Caenorhabditis elegans: one gene and its partners. The protein of the gene in region 1 interacts with the protein of each later gene in a biochemical or structural test. Each region holds a gene or a part of one and is shown on either strand. Other genes may lie near its edges.

Region 1 (4,129 bases):
CTATATTTTGCTATAATAAAATGAACAACAAAATTTCACGAAAAAATGATTGAAAACGAGTGAAATCAACGAAACTGAATGAAAATTTTGGAAAAATAATACATTTACGTATTTTCCGCAAATACCTAACGAGACCCAAATTATCGGGGCGGAGTCTTTCTATTTGGCGTTGGAGCGCGATTGCATTCTGATTTCAAAAGATGCGTTATTCACAAGTGAAAAATGAAACTTTAATTTTCTTAATCAGACAAAAAATGTGAGATTTTTGAAGAAATCGGAGAAAACGGTTCAGCAATTAGCATGAGTTCTCAAATAAAAATGTGTTCTCAGAAATCTCGAAAGAAAATAAAAAAATTAGAAAATTCTAGTTGTATAACTAAATTATAGCCAAAGTACCACATCATCGAAACCTATAATTACACCGCCCGCGCTTAATCGGTAAAAGTTCCCTGTAATTTAAAAATTTAATTTAATTTTTTGTTGTCCAGAATGACATCTTGTGAAATATGCTTTGTTTGAGAAAAACAACTTTTTGAAAATGTCCCCGCACCACTTACTGAAAAAATTATAAGTTTTCGAGGACTTAAAAAGGGCACAAGAAGTGCTTGAAATTGTTGGAGCACGTGAATTTCAAAAACCTCATGTTTTGAAATTTCAAGTGTACTCAGTACTAAGCTTAGTTGTTATTTTTCCTTTTGGGACTATAAAGTCGCACGGTGTGATAAAATAATCCTAAAGAAAATCGAAATTTTCTTGTCGCTTTTAAATTTTATTTTTTTTTTTTTCTCAAAAATCTAAAAATGCAAATGAACCTCAACGAAAAGAAGCAGCTGCTCCGAGTGCGAGTCTACGCGACATCTGAAAAAGGAGAAAATCTCGGGAGGTACTAATTGAGTTGTTGTAGATATATTGAGAAAGATGGAGAACGAGAAAAGAAAATAAATTTATGTTGAATGAATGGGGTTAGACGATTGGGAATAATAGAGTTCGCGAAACAAAAACTACATGAAAAATTGGTTGACAAGTTATTTCACTTTTTAAAATTTCTAGTAAATGTGATGAGATCCTTTATTTGACAGACAGACGAGATGATTGAAAGAAGGACGGGAAAATCAGTAGTTGATCAGTGATTCCGAAGACTTGCTTCTTTTTCAATCTTTTGCTGCTTCTCAGCTCTAATTTTTGCCTCCATCATTCCCTGGATCCAGTAGTGTTCCTTCACCTGTAATAATTTAATGAATTATGATAATTAAGAACACTACAAAAGTGTACTTCTGTGTGCTGATAATATGTTGGCCACTAAGCTGAAATCAATAACAAACCTGTTCAAGCGTACAGCGAGCCTTGGGATCAACGACAAGCAATCTTCCAATCAAATCTCGTGCACCCTTCTTCACAGAATCAGGGTAAGTAAACCGTGCCGCTTTGATTGCCGCATATGTCTTGGACTGATCTTCGTGCTCGAATGGGGGTTTTCCAACGAGAAACTCATAGCAGAGAACGCCGATTGCCCATAAGTCAACTGCGTCACTGTGATCGGCTCCATTCACCATTTCAGGAGGGAGATAGTCCATTGTTCCGCACATTGTTTGGCGCCTGAAAACATGACAGTGAATTTTTGGAAACATCTAGATTTCCTAAATTTGAGGATAAACTCACTTATTCGAAGGAGCATGAACACTCCATCCAAAATCTCCAATTTTCAATTCTCCTTGTGATCCGATAAGCAAATTCTCCGGTTTAATGTCGCGATGAATCACATTTTTCCTGTGGCAATATGACAAAGCATCTGCGATCTCATACATATATTTTGCAGCTGTTGGCTCTGAGAATCTCTTGCTCACTGTCAATTGCTTGTACATTTCGCCTCCGGGGGCATATTCCAAAACGAGATAGATCTTCTTCGCATCCCAAAAATATGTGTAGAGCTTGATAATATTCGGGTGATTCAAATGAGATTGAATCTCAATTTCACGCTCCAATTGATGCTCGACGCCTCCTGAGATGAGTTGCGATTTGAATAGAACCTGAAAATATGTATGGGTAAAACGGATGTCAGAAAAATGATAATTCAAATAAATACAAAATAAATCAATATGTTACCTTGATCGCTACATGGAAATGTCCAGTTTTTGTGCGAGCCAGGTAAACACTGCCGAATTTTCCTTTTCCCAGTGGTCTTCCGATCTCGAAATCGTTAATAGTAAATTTTCTGTAAAATCAAGAATAATTTATAAACTTTTAAAACCTTGATTTCTTACCCTCCCTTCTGTGGAGTATTCACAGTTTCCTTCTCTGGAAGGTTGATTACAGGTGGCTTATTCTCCATGTCGGAACTGAAAAGTTTTTTATGAAGAAATAAAATAGACGGCACGATTAAGGACAAATTAACTAAAAGAAAACATCACGATAAATTTATAAATTGAATTAATTAGAAGTTCAATGGCCCAATTTTTAATTGAATACATTTAGATATTTATGTAGAATAAAAATAGGACTAATTCTGCTTTGATTTCAAAAAAAAGTGAGAAATCAACACATTACCTGAGTAAATATGTTTACAAAAAACGAGTTTTGATTGCAAATAATTCTAAAGAAACTAAAAATTGTCAGCTGGATAGTAAGGAGAAATGCAAGCCGTTTAAATAAAAAATTAACGCGGCAAAATGCAATGGTCCGCAATATGTCGTCATGTACGGTGTAAATGCGTACTTGGCCCTGTGCCAGGCCCGTTTATCCTGCTTTTTTGTTTGTTTTAAATTAAATTAAATTGTATTTATATATTTTTGTTCTTCTTAAATGTTTTCCTATCAAAACAATCCGTAGAAAATTAAGATTCAACTAGAAAATTTCAGTACTCATTGGACTATGTACGGAGTTCTTGTAATTGGAGCTCCTGGAGCTGGAAAATCTACATTTTGTGCAGGATTAACGGACATTTTCTCACAAACCAAACGACCATTTCTCACTATCAATCTTGATCCTGCTAATGACACAATGGCATACGCACCTGATGTAAATATCACTGTAAGTATTTTATTCCAATGAATATAGGACAATAATTATGAAACGTGGTACAGATCATCTATCAATGTTATTTTAATACTTAAGGTCATATTTTTCATTTAAAATACTAAAGTTTAGGAAATGATCACTGTGAATGATGTAATGGATCGACTTGGACTTGGACCAAATGGAGCTCTCAAATACTGTATTGAAACACTTGGAGCTAATTGTAATTGGCTCCTCCAGGTAATTTTTTTGGCAGAAAAAGTTAATTCTCAAAAGCTAAAAATTGTTTTCACAACAATTGAGCTAAAATCTGGAATTCTCTAAATTTGAATCGAGAAAATCGGAAATCATTTTTAACCTCTTTGTAGTTTTAATATTCAATTAAATCTTTTTTCAGAAAATCGAAGCGAATCACAAGAAATATCTGATAATTGATTGTCCCGGACAGTTGGAACTATACAAAAGCGAAGGCGAACTATGGAAAGTTATCCGCTTTTTGGAAAAATCCGGTGTTAGACTATGTGCCTTACATCTTGCCGATTCACTTTACTGCAGTGACCCATCGAAATTCATTTCTGTTGCATTATCCACATTAGGTAAGAGTTCATTAAGATTAAAAAAAAATTGAAATACTTTTCTTGTCTCTCGACCCGAAATTTCCAAATATAATTCAGCTGATTTCCTCCAAAAAATGAAAATTTATTTTTGTTCTGTACAATTTTGAAACTCCATGGGCCTTTATGTATTTCTGGCTAAGAAATGCAATATCTTTCTGGCACATAAAACTTTCATTTAATCTGAAACCTATTTTTGTTATTTATTTGATTTTAGATGGAAAAAATTGAAATTCGGAACCACTTTAAATTTTGTGTGGCTGAAAGGAACAAATTAAAATTATATTCATTAAAAAGCTTCAATTTCAGCGACAATGGTAACAATGGAGATGCCACAAGTAAACTGTCTGTCAAAAGCAGATCTTTTCTCTGAAGACGGGACCTATGATCTCGAGTTTTTCTCCCATTTACCTGATGTCAATCGACTTTTGGATCTTTTGAATGAAGTTCCCGGATTGGAAAAATATCGAAAATTGAATGAAGCAATTTGTGGAGTTATTAGC
Region 2 (6,537 bases), on another chromosome or scaffold:
GTTTTTTTTGAAAACACGTTATATTGTTCTTCCCAGAAAGGGTGAGAATTTTTACTTCAAGAAGTACTCTTTTTTATAGTTGCATGGAACGTGTTCAGTACAAAGGATTGTTTTTCTTTTTTTAGATTCAGAAATCCAGACTAAGCTCAAAATTTTCGAAACAAAAATAACAAACCAGCGTAAAGTCCTCGAATTCCGTCCAATTTATAAGTATCCTTGAGACAAACAATCCAATTTGAATAGAGATTCGGGAATGTTTGTACTTTTACTTTAACTGTATCTAATGGTTGTCCAGCATACACGTTGGCAATTCCACCAGCTGTTCCAGCCAATAAATCGATAATTCCATCTTTAAAATGATTGGCTGAAGCATCACCCGTTGCAGTTGTAGGTTCACCGCTTTCATGCATATTTCTATCTATTTTATTTTCTGAAATAACAAAAATTGGAAGAAATGGTTTTGAAAATTTCCAGAAAATTTAGATCACGATCATTTTTTCTTGTTTGCTAAATAGCTGGTTTTGTTGGTTTTTCGGACCAAAAAACAAAAAATTTAACTTTTGAGTCGTGAGGAGGAAAACAAAACGACAATTTCTTTTGGTTTTGGGAAGTTAAATTTTTTGTGACTTTGTGATCACGATGAGCACAATAAAGGAGGATTTAAATTTCCTCTGTTTAGAAAATAAAACATTGAATCTGTATAAACTTCAAAATATATAACCATGAGGTTGAAAATAAAACCAAGAAGAAAAAAAAATAAATTTCAACGAAAAAAAAGTGAAGAAATTGTATTTATTGCAACTTGCAATGGTGACGGGGATCGGGAGTGAAATATATTGATATAACAGAGAAAGCTGATTGATATTATTGAACTGGGAATTGAAAGGTGGAAGGGAGAGAAAATTGTTAATAAATACGTCAAAAATCAAATAAAACTCGGATAAAAGGAAGAATGAAAAAGAGAAAAGAGAAAAAAGGCCAGAGATCCACAGAGACAAAAAAATCTTAAAAACGGGATGGGAAAGTTTGCATCACCTTTTGAAACAAAACAACGTCATCTGAGAATGACCACGTGACAAGTGATAATGTGATGTGATCTGACACCGTCGATCATCTTTAATCTTTTGTATGAACATTCTTTACACGGTATGAAATGAAATCAAAAGTTATAATTAGTGATGAGAATCACAACGATATTTTGGATAATGAAGAAATGCTACGAAAATGGGAAATATGGTTAATTCGAAATACAGAAAATTAAAGACTTTCTAGATGATTCGGGCTTACGACACCGACAAAATATAAGTTTTAATTATGCCCAATGAGAAGAAAATACATTTTACAGCTACTTTTCCGGAAACAAAACTATGAATTATGACACTTTTAATCTTCTAGAATCAAATAGTTGCGAGTAACTTCTTCGAAACAATCTCGTAAACCATTCGCTTTCTGTAGTATGGCATATTTTTCTGCGTGAAGCGAGGCGTCGTTCGTCGAGATGCCCATTCACCGAATTGGCATGAGAATACTCCACAGTCACTGCCATTTTGTTGACGAGGAATGTCCTAAACAAGATGATTATCGCGTGTTGAAGATCTTTTTGTGTGTGTAATTTCAGAAGTATTACTGGTTGTTTTAGAGAGCATAGATATCAAAAAAAGAGTGATTGAGCCAAACATCTGGACTTCTAAAAAAAAACTTTTTTTCAGAAATAAATTTAAAGTAAAAATCCTTTTTTTTATTTAATTTTTTTAAAATTCAATATACCGTCATCTGTTGAATTGTCCATCCAGAAAAGTTCATTGCTGTCTTTTTCTTATCCAATGATTCAGCTTCCAAGTAACCTCTGAAATATAAAATATTTATTGATATATTCTCTGTGAGTTTTTTAAATAAAAACCAAAAACACTCAAAAAACTAACCGCAATGCTGGCAAAACGGCTGTATTTCCATCATAAAGAGAGTCATAAAACTCAATCTTCTTTTCGCCCATATCGATAACAGCCATACACCAATGCATTCCAAGATGAACTGGCACCAAAACGATGTCGAATGCAAAGATATCGACTTTTCTTGTCCATCGTTTCACACTCGCGTATCCTTTTGAAACAATATTGGAATAAAAGAATGTGTTGAATGCATAGATCTTTGGATATTTCGAATCGCCATTGCTCCGATCACAAATCAATTGAAGATAGAAATTGATGATCTCATCATTCAGCCAATGCAATCCACTCAATGTTGCAAGATCTTTTTTACAGATCTGAATGCTGAATGCATCCACAAATTGTTCATTTGGATTCCCTCCGCTCCATGCTCTTTCTACAAGAGCATCAGCAGCATCAGGTAAAGCCATAAAATCATCAACTTTCTTCTTCTCCACCTTCGGACGAATAGCGATTCCTTGCAATTCAAGTCTCTTCCGAACATCTTCCAATCGATCACCTCTTGTTTGAGAGCGATGTCCTTCTCGTATCCGAGCCTCTTCTAGAAGTTTATCCTCCTTCTGCTTCGACAATTGATAAGAATTCTGATATCTCTGCGGTCCTCGATATGCGGAACCGATTCCAAGGCTATTAATTTGCGAGAGAATATCATTGAGTTTCCTGTATGAATCAGATTCCGACGAATTTGATCGGGCGTGTTGGCGGTAACTTAAATTTATATTATTGCTTGAATTGATGAAAAACTTAAATAAATACCTTGAAGAAGTGGACTCTTCGCTATCAATGATGATGGATGGTTCTCTTGATAAGAGTGAAGGGGTGTTGCTTCGGGATCCTCCCAATTCTGCGATTTTCTGAAGAAAAAAGATCAGAAAGTTTTAAATAACAGTAATATCCTGAACATACATTCTTCGCTCTGGCTAATATGTCAGTTGATGATGTTCTCTGCATTTTCTTCGGTTTTTTTTCAACAATTCCAGAAATCGCTTTAGCTTCGTATTGTCCACTTGCAACAACTCCTTGAAGAAGTCGATCGCGAGATGACAGGTGATTTTTTATCTGAAATAATTAAACCTTAAAAATAAATAATTATCTATAAAAACAGTGGACCGAAATTAATTCTAAATAACAAAATCGTCTAATGTATCCGTTCCAAAATCAATTTTAATGTTAAAAAATTGAATCTTGTAGGTTTTGCGGACCATTTGGGAAGAAAAATCTTCCAAAATGGTTTTTAAAAAAACCTATAAAGTTTAATAATAAGAAGTTTTTGGCATTTAGAATTAATTTCTGAAGCTTCAGTTTGATACACTGAAAATTGTAATTTCTCACATTAGTTTCTCTGCTTCATAAAGAAATAATTACCTTCTTTAAATCAATAATCGTGTTCATTTTCCGAACAGAAGTTGAGTGCTTAAATTGATGTCTAACAGGGACCCGTCTCAAAACCTCTGGCTTTTTAGCAGAATTCCGTCTCCAATAATCACGAACATTATTTGATGTGTAATTTGATAATGATGATAAGCTCGGAGTAATCGGACGACTAACACTGTCATCGGGTGTCGGTGAGATAAATTCTTTGCTCCTAGAGTCAGAAATAACTGATACATCGTCTGGTGTGTCTGGATTGTCGTTGAGAAAGATCAACTAAAGTTTGATAATTTATTATAATAGAATTATTCGAATACTAATACCTCATTCTGAAATCGTCTTGCTTCTTGCAATTGCTTATTTGGTGTCTTGACTACTTTCTCGAAAAGAACGTCTGGTTCCTCATCATCCTGTTGTACTTCAAATGACTTTTCCAAATTTTTTGGCGACTTTGGGGAAGATGATAAGGTGAGCACTAAATCTCCTTGAACTTCTTGTTTTTCTTCGTCATTCCGAATTTCAACGTTTTTTTGAACATGTTTCTCAATGATAACTTCATTTTCCTCTGATCCAGCATTGGCTCTCACAGGTGCATCTTCGTTCAGAAAAATCATATATTTCTTGTTCTGTAACAACTGTGGTCATGTTTAGTTAGGGGGGGGGGGGGGGGGGTTTATATACCGTATATTCTCTATTAGTGCTGCATCTCCAGTAGTACTGCAGTCTCTAATAGTGCTGCATTCAAAAAGGGTCCGAAAAATAGTGCTGCAGTCTCTATTAGTGCTGCACCCCATTTTCTATTGAAAGAGTCACTTGACAGTTTCGATATTTTTGGGTATTTTTTTGTATATTTTATGATTTTTTGATAATTTAGGAAAGTAATTGAATTATTGGGTCTTTTTTTTACAAAAGTTCGCAATTTTTATGAATTTCTGCTTAAAATATGAGGTTTTGTGATTAAAAACTAGTGATCTATAATTGAAAATAGCCGTTCGAAAATTAATGCTGCAGTCTCCAGTAGTACTGCAGTCTCTAATAGTGCTGCATTAAAAAAGGGCCTGGAAATTAGTGCTGCATGCAGCACTAATAGAGAATATACGGTATTTGCTGAACTTAACTCCGAAAGTTAATTTATTCTCAAAATATACCTCAGCAACTCTCCTCGTCGTTCCTTCCACTATAATTTCATCATCCTCTTGAACTTGAACTTCGCCCGAAACTTCAGTTTTCTCCTTTTCTCCCGAATTACTGCTTACGAACATTCCGAAGAAGGTATTGAAAAGCCCTGAAATGTTGAAGATCGCTATTTCAAATTTATACTTTTATGGATCAAGGAAAAGGATTCACTCACCACCCAATCCTTGAGATTTCGTTTTTCTGGTTCTTTTTGTTGGCGACTGCTCTTTTTCTTCGTTTGTAACAGCTTGATCGGTTAACCAATGTCGTTTTCTTGCTAAATATTTTAATTAATTTCAGCTTATTTTTCATTCACTTCTCCTACATTGAGAGTCTTTGTCTGATAAATCAGACCTACGTGACATTCCGTTTCTCTTTCAATCGAATATCGTCTATTTTTGATGTTCCAGATTCAAGTAGCTATCCTGAAATATAGTTTTTAGCTGCTTTAAAAGATTTTTGCTATAGTAAATACTATCACAAAGGGCAACATTTTAAGTTTTTCAGCCAAAATAAAGAAGGCAATTAACCTCTAGGCAGTACGTAATCATTCAATTATTGCATAAATTACTTTTAATAAAAGAATAGATGAATGGGATAGAAGCGGAGGAGATTGGCTGCAGATCATTTTTGAATGAAATGAATAAAATTTGGGGAATCTGGAGAAAAGTTGAACTGTTAAAAAGATAAATGTGAACAAAATAAAATCCAATAGATAAAAATAGAAAGAGATCTCACCACAGGAAGACAGCCAATCAACTCTTTTTTTTTTGTTGATTCACAGTGAAAAGGAGAATTTTTGGAATCGATAATATATGGTAACGAGAGATGGAGAAAGAATAATAGTTTGTCAGCTTTTCTATAGATGGGAATATTTTCAACTTGACTGAACAATCCGGAATACAAAAAAAACAAGGAAACGAAACGGGAAAAATGTGGTGAAATTTTGAATAACTTAGTAATAAATGGTAATAAAAACAATTAGAAAGAGAATACTCGGAGACTCTTATCCAATGAACACGTCACCAATGAACGAGCATTTTCTCCGAATCTAACTCCAGTGACTGGTCCAGAATGATCAGAAAGTGATACAACTTCACTCCAGCTCTTCACATGCAAAACTTGAACTTTTTGGCCACCAATTCCTAGGAATGTTCCAGTCATGTCGAAGGACAGGGAGTTGATCTGAAAAAATTATATTTTTTCATTAAACATTTGCTTAACAATTTCTTACCGGTTGTTTCTCTTCGTTAGCGAAAGTTTTCAGATTCTTCAATTTTCTAAGATCCCATAATTTGACCTCTCCATCCTCTGATCCCGTAGCCAAATAATATCCGTTTTCAGAAAACGCAATCGAACGAACGGCAGCAGTATGTCCCGGGAATGCAGCAGCCACGGTTTGATTCTTCAAATCCCAAATCTTCACAACGGCATCCGCAGCTCCAGTTCCAAAAATAAGACCATCAGGATGGAACTCGATGGAATGAACGGCAATTTGTGATCCTGGTTCAACTGAAACCTTGCAAAGCGATTTTCCGGAACGAATGTCGGAGAATGCCCAGTAAGAATCATCAGAAGCGGAGAGAATGTAATCACCGGATGCATTGAGGGAGATATCTGTAAAACATTGTTTGTTCAATAGAAGAATTACAGCTAGCGAATTTTTTTCAAATATCTCACCTGTAACGGGTGCCTGATGGACATCAATAATAGCCTTCGAAGACGAATCAGTTGCACTCCAGACTCTAATATGTGAATCAGCAGAAGCAGAGATTGCAGTAATATTATCCGGATGCAAAACAACTGCGTTGATCTTCTTGTTATGCCCCTTGAATGTTTGCATAACCTGTTCCTTTTCATAGTCATACAAGACAACGGTTTTATCAATTCCTCCGGTAAGTGACAAATTTCCCTTGATATCCAATGCAGTAATTCCAGGAGTTCCAGTCGAATGAATTCCAGTGTGAGATGCTGTCTGTTTCAGCTCGGCGAGCTCTTCTGTTTTGGCAAGTCCTTCAGGAAGATTTTTTCCTCGTTGTTTACG
Region 3 (6,550 bases), on another chromosome or scaffold:
AGGCGCGTGCACAACACTTTTGAATAAATGCAATTTTCATTTAAAACTGTAAAGCTGTAGCGTTCAAAGGCGCAGGTATTCAAAAATTCGAAAAAAAGTTTCAAATTGCAGCCAATTGGTGTTTGGATGGAAAAAGGATGCGGAGCCGACTTGGTCATCAATATTGTGCTCACAATTCTCGGCTTCATACCCGGAGTCATCCACGCTTGCTTCATTATTTGTTGGTACTAACCTTGATTTCATATAAATAATTATATTTTATATACTCACCCGGGTCATATTATTCACGTTTTCATAAATTAATATTTTGTATTTCCTACCAATTTTTATTAGCTAGAGTTAGGGCTGTTATGAGGGACGTCCCTTTTTGGGGGGCGGGGGCGATCATTCGTCCCCCTCATGGGGGCGAGGGACGCCCCCGTCCCCTGGTTGGGGGATGGGGGACGACCCTCGTCCCCGATGTGACGAAAAGTCGCGTCCTATTCATTTTTACTTATATTAGATATTCACCTCATTTAAAATATTTTTACGTGAAACTCGTTTCCGTTAAATTGTGCGGGTCCATCGTGGATATTCCACACAAAAAACGTGTCACTTTAATAATTATGAAGCAAAATCATAACTTGTTTTGCTATCGACATGGAGGATACAAACGCACATTTTTCGCACTGGATGAAGGAAGCGCCCCCACGAGGGGACGAGGGGCGCCCCTTTTCGTCCCTCATAACAGCCCTAGCTAGAGTCGTTTAACAACAGGAAAAAAAGTTAAAAAAATGAATGGTACAGTAGTTTTCAGTTTTAAAGATTAACGAACAAGGCAAAGCAATAAAATACAACAAAACAATGGAAGCTATGAAAAATTGGGAAATGATACAGTATCAATTATATTAGCAGCTTCACATTTCTTCGTGGCTGATGTGACGTACTAGAATTGGAAAATAAGGATCTTCTTGCTTCGCTTCAACCTTCATATTCTTGAGACTCACTGAAAAATATTTATTTTTATTTTAATTTGTGTCTCAACGACTAAATATCTTACAAAGAAGGCCCTCAAAGGCGGTTGCTGCCTTTTTACGATCGTGATCCGCAGTGAATTCATTGAAATTCACCCATTCTGGATATCTTGCTTCTGCTTCGCTGAAAAATTGATTTTTTTTTGATTTTTCGTAGTTCCAATTACGATCAAAACTGAGCGATTGACCTGCCAATGCGTCGCACAGAAAAAGAGGCGGGGTGTTGTTCTGCAAGCCTGCGGCTCGTGGACAACTATGAAATAATTTTTCGCGAAAATTCTGGATTTCGGAATATTTTCGCTAATTTCGTTGTTGTTAATATTCGAAATAAACTGACTATTTATGGTATTTTTCCGGCGAAAATGGCAAATTTTCGTTGAATAAACTCCAAATTTTTAGATTATTTCGAATATTAAACACAAAAAAATAAGCGAAAATTATCCGAAATCAAGCATTTTAGACAAAAATTTATTTACAGTTTTCCACAATGGCTGGCGAGCCGCAAGTTTAAAAAAACGACGCTCCGCCTCATTTTGTGTGCGGCGCCTTGCAAAATTTGCAGGTCGATCTTTCTGTTTTAGTGTTAGTATACACACTTGAGCAATTCCTTGTGGATGTTGAGCCGATTATTGGGAAGGAGACTTCCAGATGAATAGAAGAATAGTTCATCTTCTCTAGCATCTCGAGTCCGTTCTTCATCCTCGAATAGTCGATTACGGCGAGTATCCTCTTCCAGATCGTCAGCTGAAAATATTTTATTTTAAACTATAAAGTGGGGGCGACAACCGAAAGTTTGAAAAATAATCGGCGAGTATAACAAAAAAATCGAACAACGAAAATTCTCGATTTTTCAAAAATCCAAAAATAATGTTTTTTACTTTAGTAAAAAAAAAACCAAAAGCCCGACACAAACCATCGGTTTGCTTATTTTTTTAAAACAATTTTGGTCATTTTCTACCTAAAGAAATCCAAGATATTCTAAAGAATAAAATTATATGTTTTCTTATTTTTTTTATGAGCAAAAAAAAAATTGATTTTATGATTTAATGTGATTTTTATCGTTCATTCTCTGAAAATGTAAGAATTTTCGATTTTCGAGGAAAAAATCGAAACATTTTTGACCTTTTATTCCGAAAATTGGAATTTTTTTTTGGTAATTCGAGAACTGCCCAATTTAAACATTTTCGGCAATTTTCGGCAAAAATTATTTTCAACACTAAATCGACATTAAAATATCTCACTTCTCATAAATTGAACCCCTAAACTGCTTTTTTGACGGCGTCGAACATTTTCAAGTTCTTCTTCGGTTCTCATCGTCAAAAGTGGATCAATTTCTTCAACTGGAATAGGATCCAAATTCAGTTCAGCAATGATGCTCGTCTCCCGGCGTTTCTCTGGAGTTGGGAACAGACTAATAACTGAATATTTCAAATCTTTGATCGGCGTGGGCGTACGAGCAGTTCTTATTGGATGCGGGGGCGCTTCATATTCCAAATTCTCAAAAACTGGATTCTCCTGTAGCTGTCTTGGCGGGTTGATATTATCCGTAGATGGAAATTCTTCAGGTTGACGAGGTTGCTCTTCTAGAAGTAGAGTATCCTCAACGATGCGATTTGGAGACAGAAGACAAACTTTTGCATATTTATATTCTTCCTCTTCTTCCTCATCTTCATCCTCTTCATCATCGCTCACTGGACTTCCAACAGCTTGATTATAACAAGCTTTGAACATATCCCGAACCTCTGGAGGAAGACGATATCCGATACTGAAAACTGGTTCTGGTAAGTTCATGAGCACCGCGACTGCATCCGTTTTTGGTGGAATCTTTGCTATTACATCCTCCTTCTTACGAACCAGTGAGGAATAATCGGCTTGTAACACTTTTTGCACAGCTTCGTCGATTTCCAGATCATCGCTGTGGATGATCGGCAGATTGCGTTTCGATTTTTTCCGTTGAGGTAGAACATCATGAATTTGGGAGTCTATTGCGAAACTCGGATCTTCCGGTCGCACAGTTGAATGAAGATCTGTCAAATCGGTTTGATTAATCGGAGTTACTGGACGCGATGATGGTCTTCTTCGTGCTCTTTCCAACGCGTCTTCTTCCTCTTCGACTTTTGATTTCTTTGCTGGAGGTGGTAGAATTACATCTTCAAACAATTCTAAATCTTTCGGCAATGGTGGCAGTCGGCTGTTCTCGTCATCGGGTAAATCGTTGATCAATTGAAGATATTCAACAACCATATCCTGCTGACTCGCTGGAATGGTGACAAGATCAATTGCATCTAGTTGTGGTGGAAGCTCTGGCTGTGGAAGCTCAAGCTGTGGCGCGGGCTCCTCGATAATTGGTTGAATGGGCTCTTGAATAGGCTCCTGGGGTGCTGGTTGTTCCACGGTTTCACTCGGGAGCAGAGCAATAGAGACAAATTTTGTAGGCTCTTCTTGCACAATTTCAGAAGCTTCTTTGGGGAGCTGAAGAGCCTCTTCTTGCTCTTCCTGGAGGATAGCAGATCGTTTTCTGGAATCGACATCTATCGGAAATTTCTCGCCAAGTGTGATTTCAGGGATCTCAGGGAACAAAAGTTGGCTGAAGTCGGCAATTACCGCGTCATTTCGTCGTTCCTTGTTGTGCTCATTTGAACCGTTACCCTCGACAAACGTGGAGTGCATGGTGATTTCTTTTTCTCTGAAACACGAAAATTTTACTTTTGAAATTAATTTAAAATTAAACTATCAATCCATCAATTTTGCAAAAAGCAATGTCGCACAGAAATAGAGGCGGAGTGTAATTTCTCTACCCTGTGGCACGGTTTTTTCAGAGCTTTTGTTGATTTTTTTAAAATAAAATTTCGATTGTAATTGGTTTATTCTCTTTTTTTCGAATGGAAATGCAATCCGCATAAATTCTCATAAGATTATAAGGATATTTAGAGCTTCATTGGTTGTAAAAACAGGAAATATCCTCGCAATCTTATGCAAATTTAATTGGATAGCATTTTCATACGCAAAATGCGAATAAATCAAGGAAAATCGAAATTTTATTGAAATAAGGTGAAAAACCGTGCCGCAGGGTTCATGTGCGTCGCTGCTTTTTTTCAAAATCTGGGATCGATTATTCAGTTCCGAACCTCAGGTAAGGCTCAACACATCCATAGATCGCATTCAATTCTGAATTATTGTCAATCCACTGATTCATGTTGGGCAACGCATCCATCATTATAAAGTCTCCTGGATTTCCATTGATCTAGAAGAATATTCTTGATTATTGATTATTTAATTAACTTGAACTCACTCCCAATTCGTCGCCAATTGCTTGTAAATGAGCCAAATCAACCCGATCCAACTCCTCGACGCACATAATAGGCTTAGATCTCAGTCTTGCGAATTTATCTTCTTTTCTCTGCAACTCTTGGTTTCTGTCGAACCTTTCAGCCATCAGCAAAATGAAACTTTTCTTCTTCATGAGCTCTTTGAGCTTCTCGACGTCTCCTGAAAATATTAATTGATTTCTGACGATACAATTCTCCAACTCACGTTTCAAGAAATCAACCTGAACTTGATGGATCAAAACTGTTCCATATGTGAGCAGGGATAGCAAATAAAGTCCAGTTTTTGTTGCTGAGCCCCTGTGCCGTTCGGGAACCATTTCAATGATTGAATGACACAGTTCCGGGAGATTTTGGTCCAAAATCTCTCTTCGTGACAGCTTTTTCGAGTCGCCGGTACCAAGAATCCTGGAAAAGCAGAAATTATAAATTAGATTGAAAAGATGAGAAAACTCACCAAGCCACGTGAAACACGGCATCTTTTCGAATTACTTCCGCAGAGACAACCATCTGCAAGAAAATACATTTTCGACTGATTTTACGGTTTTCACAACGGCAAAATATCAGTTTTTAAAAAATTAAACCATAAAACAAATAATATAACCCAATTTTTACATCAAACCACAAGAAAAAAATACATTTGGGCCCACGGATAAAGAAATTAAAAAAATACATTTTTTAAAGGCGCACCGAATTAAAATTCATTTGGGTCTTACCGCGTATACCGTACTCCGTTTGTTTGATCATTTTTGTCAGCGCTGGCGGTTGTTTTTTCATTTCATTTCTGCTTCAAAGACGTTTTCTCGAATAATTTTTCGTTTATTCTCTTTTTTAAAATTAATTTCTAGCCGTAAATGTTATAAATTCACCCATTTAACGCAAATTTCATGGTAATCTCATGGAAAAATGCAGTTTCTTTGTTAAAGAAAGCTTAAATAGCAAAAATTCCCCGACTTTCCCCAAAATCCTGCTCGATTTTCCGTTTTCTCATTGTATTCTCTCTTAATTAATTTTATCGATAATCAATTGAATGTTTCAGACAGAGAATGAAAGCGGCATCAAATAGTGTCTCGTCGGCCGGAGGATCAGTGTCACCTACGACAACCCAGCCACCACTACCACCAGGGCAGTCGTCACATCCTCAAATCTACGATCAACAGGTATTCACAATCAACAAATGTTGATAATATTACAGTTATATTTTTCAGATGCAGTACTACTTCGCGGCTGCCATGCCGAACCAGCCAATGGCGACGTATGCGGCACAAAATGGATCTTCTCAACAGTACGCCCCAGCGGCTCCATATTATCAAGATGCCAACGGACAGTATGTGCAGGTTCCCGCGAACGGATCAATGGCTCCTCAACAGCACATGATGGTTTCTGGTCAACCGTATCTCTATATGGCTCAACCACAACAAGGAGCTCAGCAAGTCATGCAGTCAGGACAACCACAGCTCATCTATTATCAACAATCAATGGCTCCACAAGCGGCTCCAATGTACTTCCATCCTATGCAAGCCGCACCGATGCTTCCAGAACAAATGGGTGTGATGCCACATACGCAGCCGGCAATTCCACCTCAACAACAGCCAAGACAAGTGGGAGTGGAGATTAGTAGCACACGCACAGCTCCATTGACCTCGTCTACTCCTCTTCCAACAAGTCTCGAATACGAGACTGTTCAGCGTGATAATCGCAACAGGAACATCCAATTCAGATATCATCGGTAATATTAGTTTGAAATTTAATATAAAAATTATATGTTTTTCAGTGTTATGGAGCATGACGAGTTGCCGATCGATGAGATCTCAAAGATCACCCTTGACAATCACAACGATGACACGATGAGCGCTGAAAAGGAAAATCATTTCCATGAACATCGTGGCGAGAAGTTCGGTCGTCGTGGATTCCCAATTCCAGAAACTGACAGTCAACAACCACCCAACTACAAGACTCGTCTTTGCATGATGCACGCATCTGGAATCAAACCATGTGATATGGGTGCTCGATGCAAGTTTGCTCATGGGCTCAAAGAGCTCAGAGCTACTGATGCTCCGGCTCGCTATCCGAACAACAAGTACAAGACAAAGCTGTGCAAGAACTTTGCGCGTGGAGGAACTGGATTCTGCCCGTATGGACTTCGTTGCGAGTTTGTTCATCCAACGGACAAGGAATTCCAGAATATTCCTCCATATGTGAGTTTCCACT

The links. Proteins that work in one complex are often made in the same cells at the same time.
Region 2: of the proteins of air-2 (region 1) and ulp-1, one has a biochemical effect on the other in vitro, tested with the Caenorhabditis elegans proteins (one study listed by BioGRID).
Region 3: of the proteins of air-2 (region 1) and rec-8, one has a biochemical effect on the other in vitro, tested with the Caenorhabditis elegans proteins (2 studies listed by BioGRID).

Annotation. Positions count from the first base shown.
Region 1 is NC_003279.8:5,935,684-5,939,812, reverse strand, and holds air-2 (Aurora/IPL1-related protein kinase 2), read right to left. Parts: upstream 2,337-4,129; 5' UTR 2,330-2,336; coding exon 2,262-2,329; intron 2,213-2,261; coding exon 2,104-2,212; intron 2,028-2,103; coding exon 1,660-2,027; intron 1,597-1,659; coding exon 1,323-1,596; intron 1,223-1,322; coding exon 1,124-1,222; 3' UTR 937-1,123; downstream 1-936. Other genes in the region: B0207.6 (GPN-loop GTPase 2), read left to right, coding at 2,869-3,027, 3,145-3,252, 3,410-3,608, 3,936-4,129. UniProt on the Caenorhabditis elegans protein: Serine/threonine-protein kinase component of the chromosomal passenger complex (CPC), a complex that acts as a key regulator of chromosome segregation and cytokinesis.
Region 2 is NC_003281.10:5,164,882-5,171,418, forward strand, and holds ulp-1 (Sentrin-specific protease), read right to left. Parts: upstream 4,919-6,537; 5' UTR 4,859-4,918; coding exon 4,819-4,858; intron 4,771-4,818; coding exon 4,669-4,770; intron 4,603-4,668; coding exon 4,466-4,602; intron 3,944-4,465; coding exon 3,641-3,943; intron 3,594-3,640; coding exon 3,312-3,593; intron 3,006-3,311; coding exon 2,853-3,005; intron 2,801-2,852; coding exon 2,703-2,800; intron 2,655-2,702; coding exon 1,923-2,654; intron 1,847-1,922; coding exon 1,768-1,846; intron 1,566-1,767; coding exon 1,398-1,565; 3' UTR 778-1,397; downstream 1-777. Other genes in the region: T10F2.2 (Mitochondrial ornithine transporter 1), read right to left, coding at 176-410; prp-19 (Pre-mRNA-processing factor 19), read right to left, coding at 5,475-5,678, 5,728-6,110, 6,174-6,537. UniProt on the Caenorhabditis elegans protein: Protease that deconjugates smo-1 from targeted proteins and may catalyze the processing of smo-1 to its mature form.
Region 3 is NC_003282.8:13,348,345-13,354,894, forward strand, and holds rec-8 (Meiotic recombination protein rec-8), read right to left. Parts: upstream 4,850-6,550; coding exon 4,797-4,849; intron 4,748-4,796; coding exon 4,548-4,747; intron 4,503-4,547; coding exon 4,306-4,502; intron 4,258-4,305; coding exon 4,142-4,257; intron 3,700-4,141; coding exon 2,255-3,699; intron 1,758-2,254; coding exon 1,610-1,757; intron 1,138-1,609; coding exon 1,040-1,137; intron 986-1,039; coding exon 897-985; 3' UTR 778-896; downstream 1-777. Other genes in the region: W02A2.9 (Plasma membrane proteolipid 3), read left to right, coding at 112-231; Zinc finger protein mex-5, read left to right, coding at 5,386-5,499, 5,548-6,068, 6,114-6,537.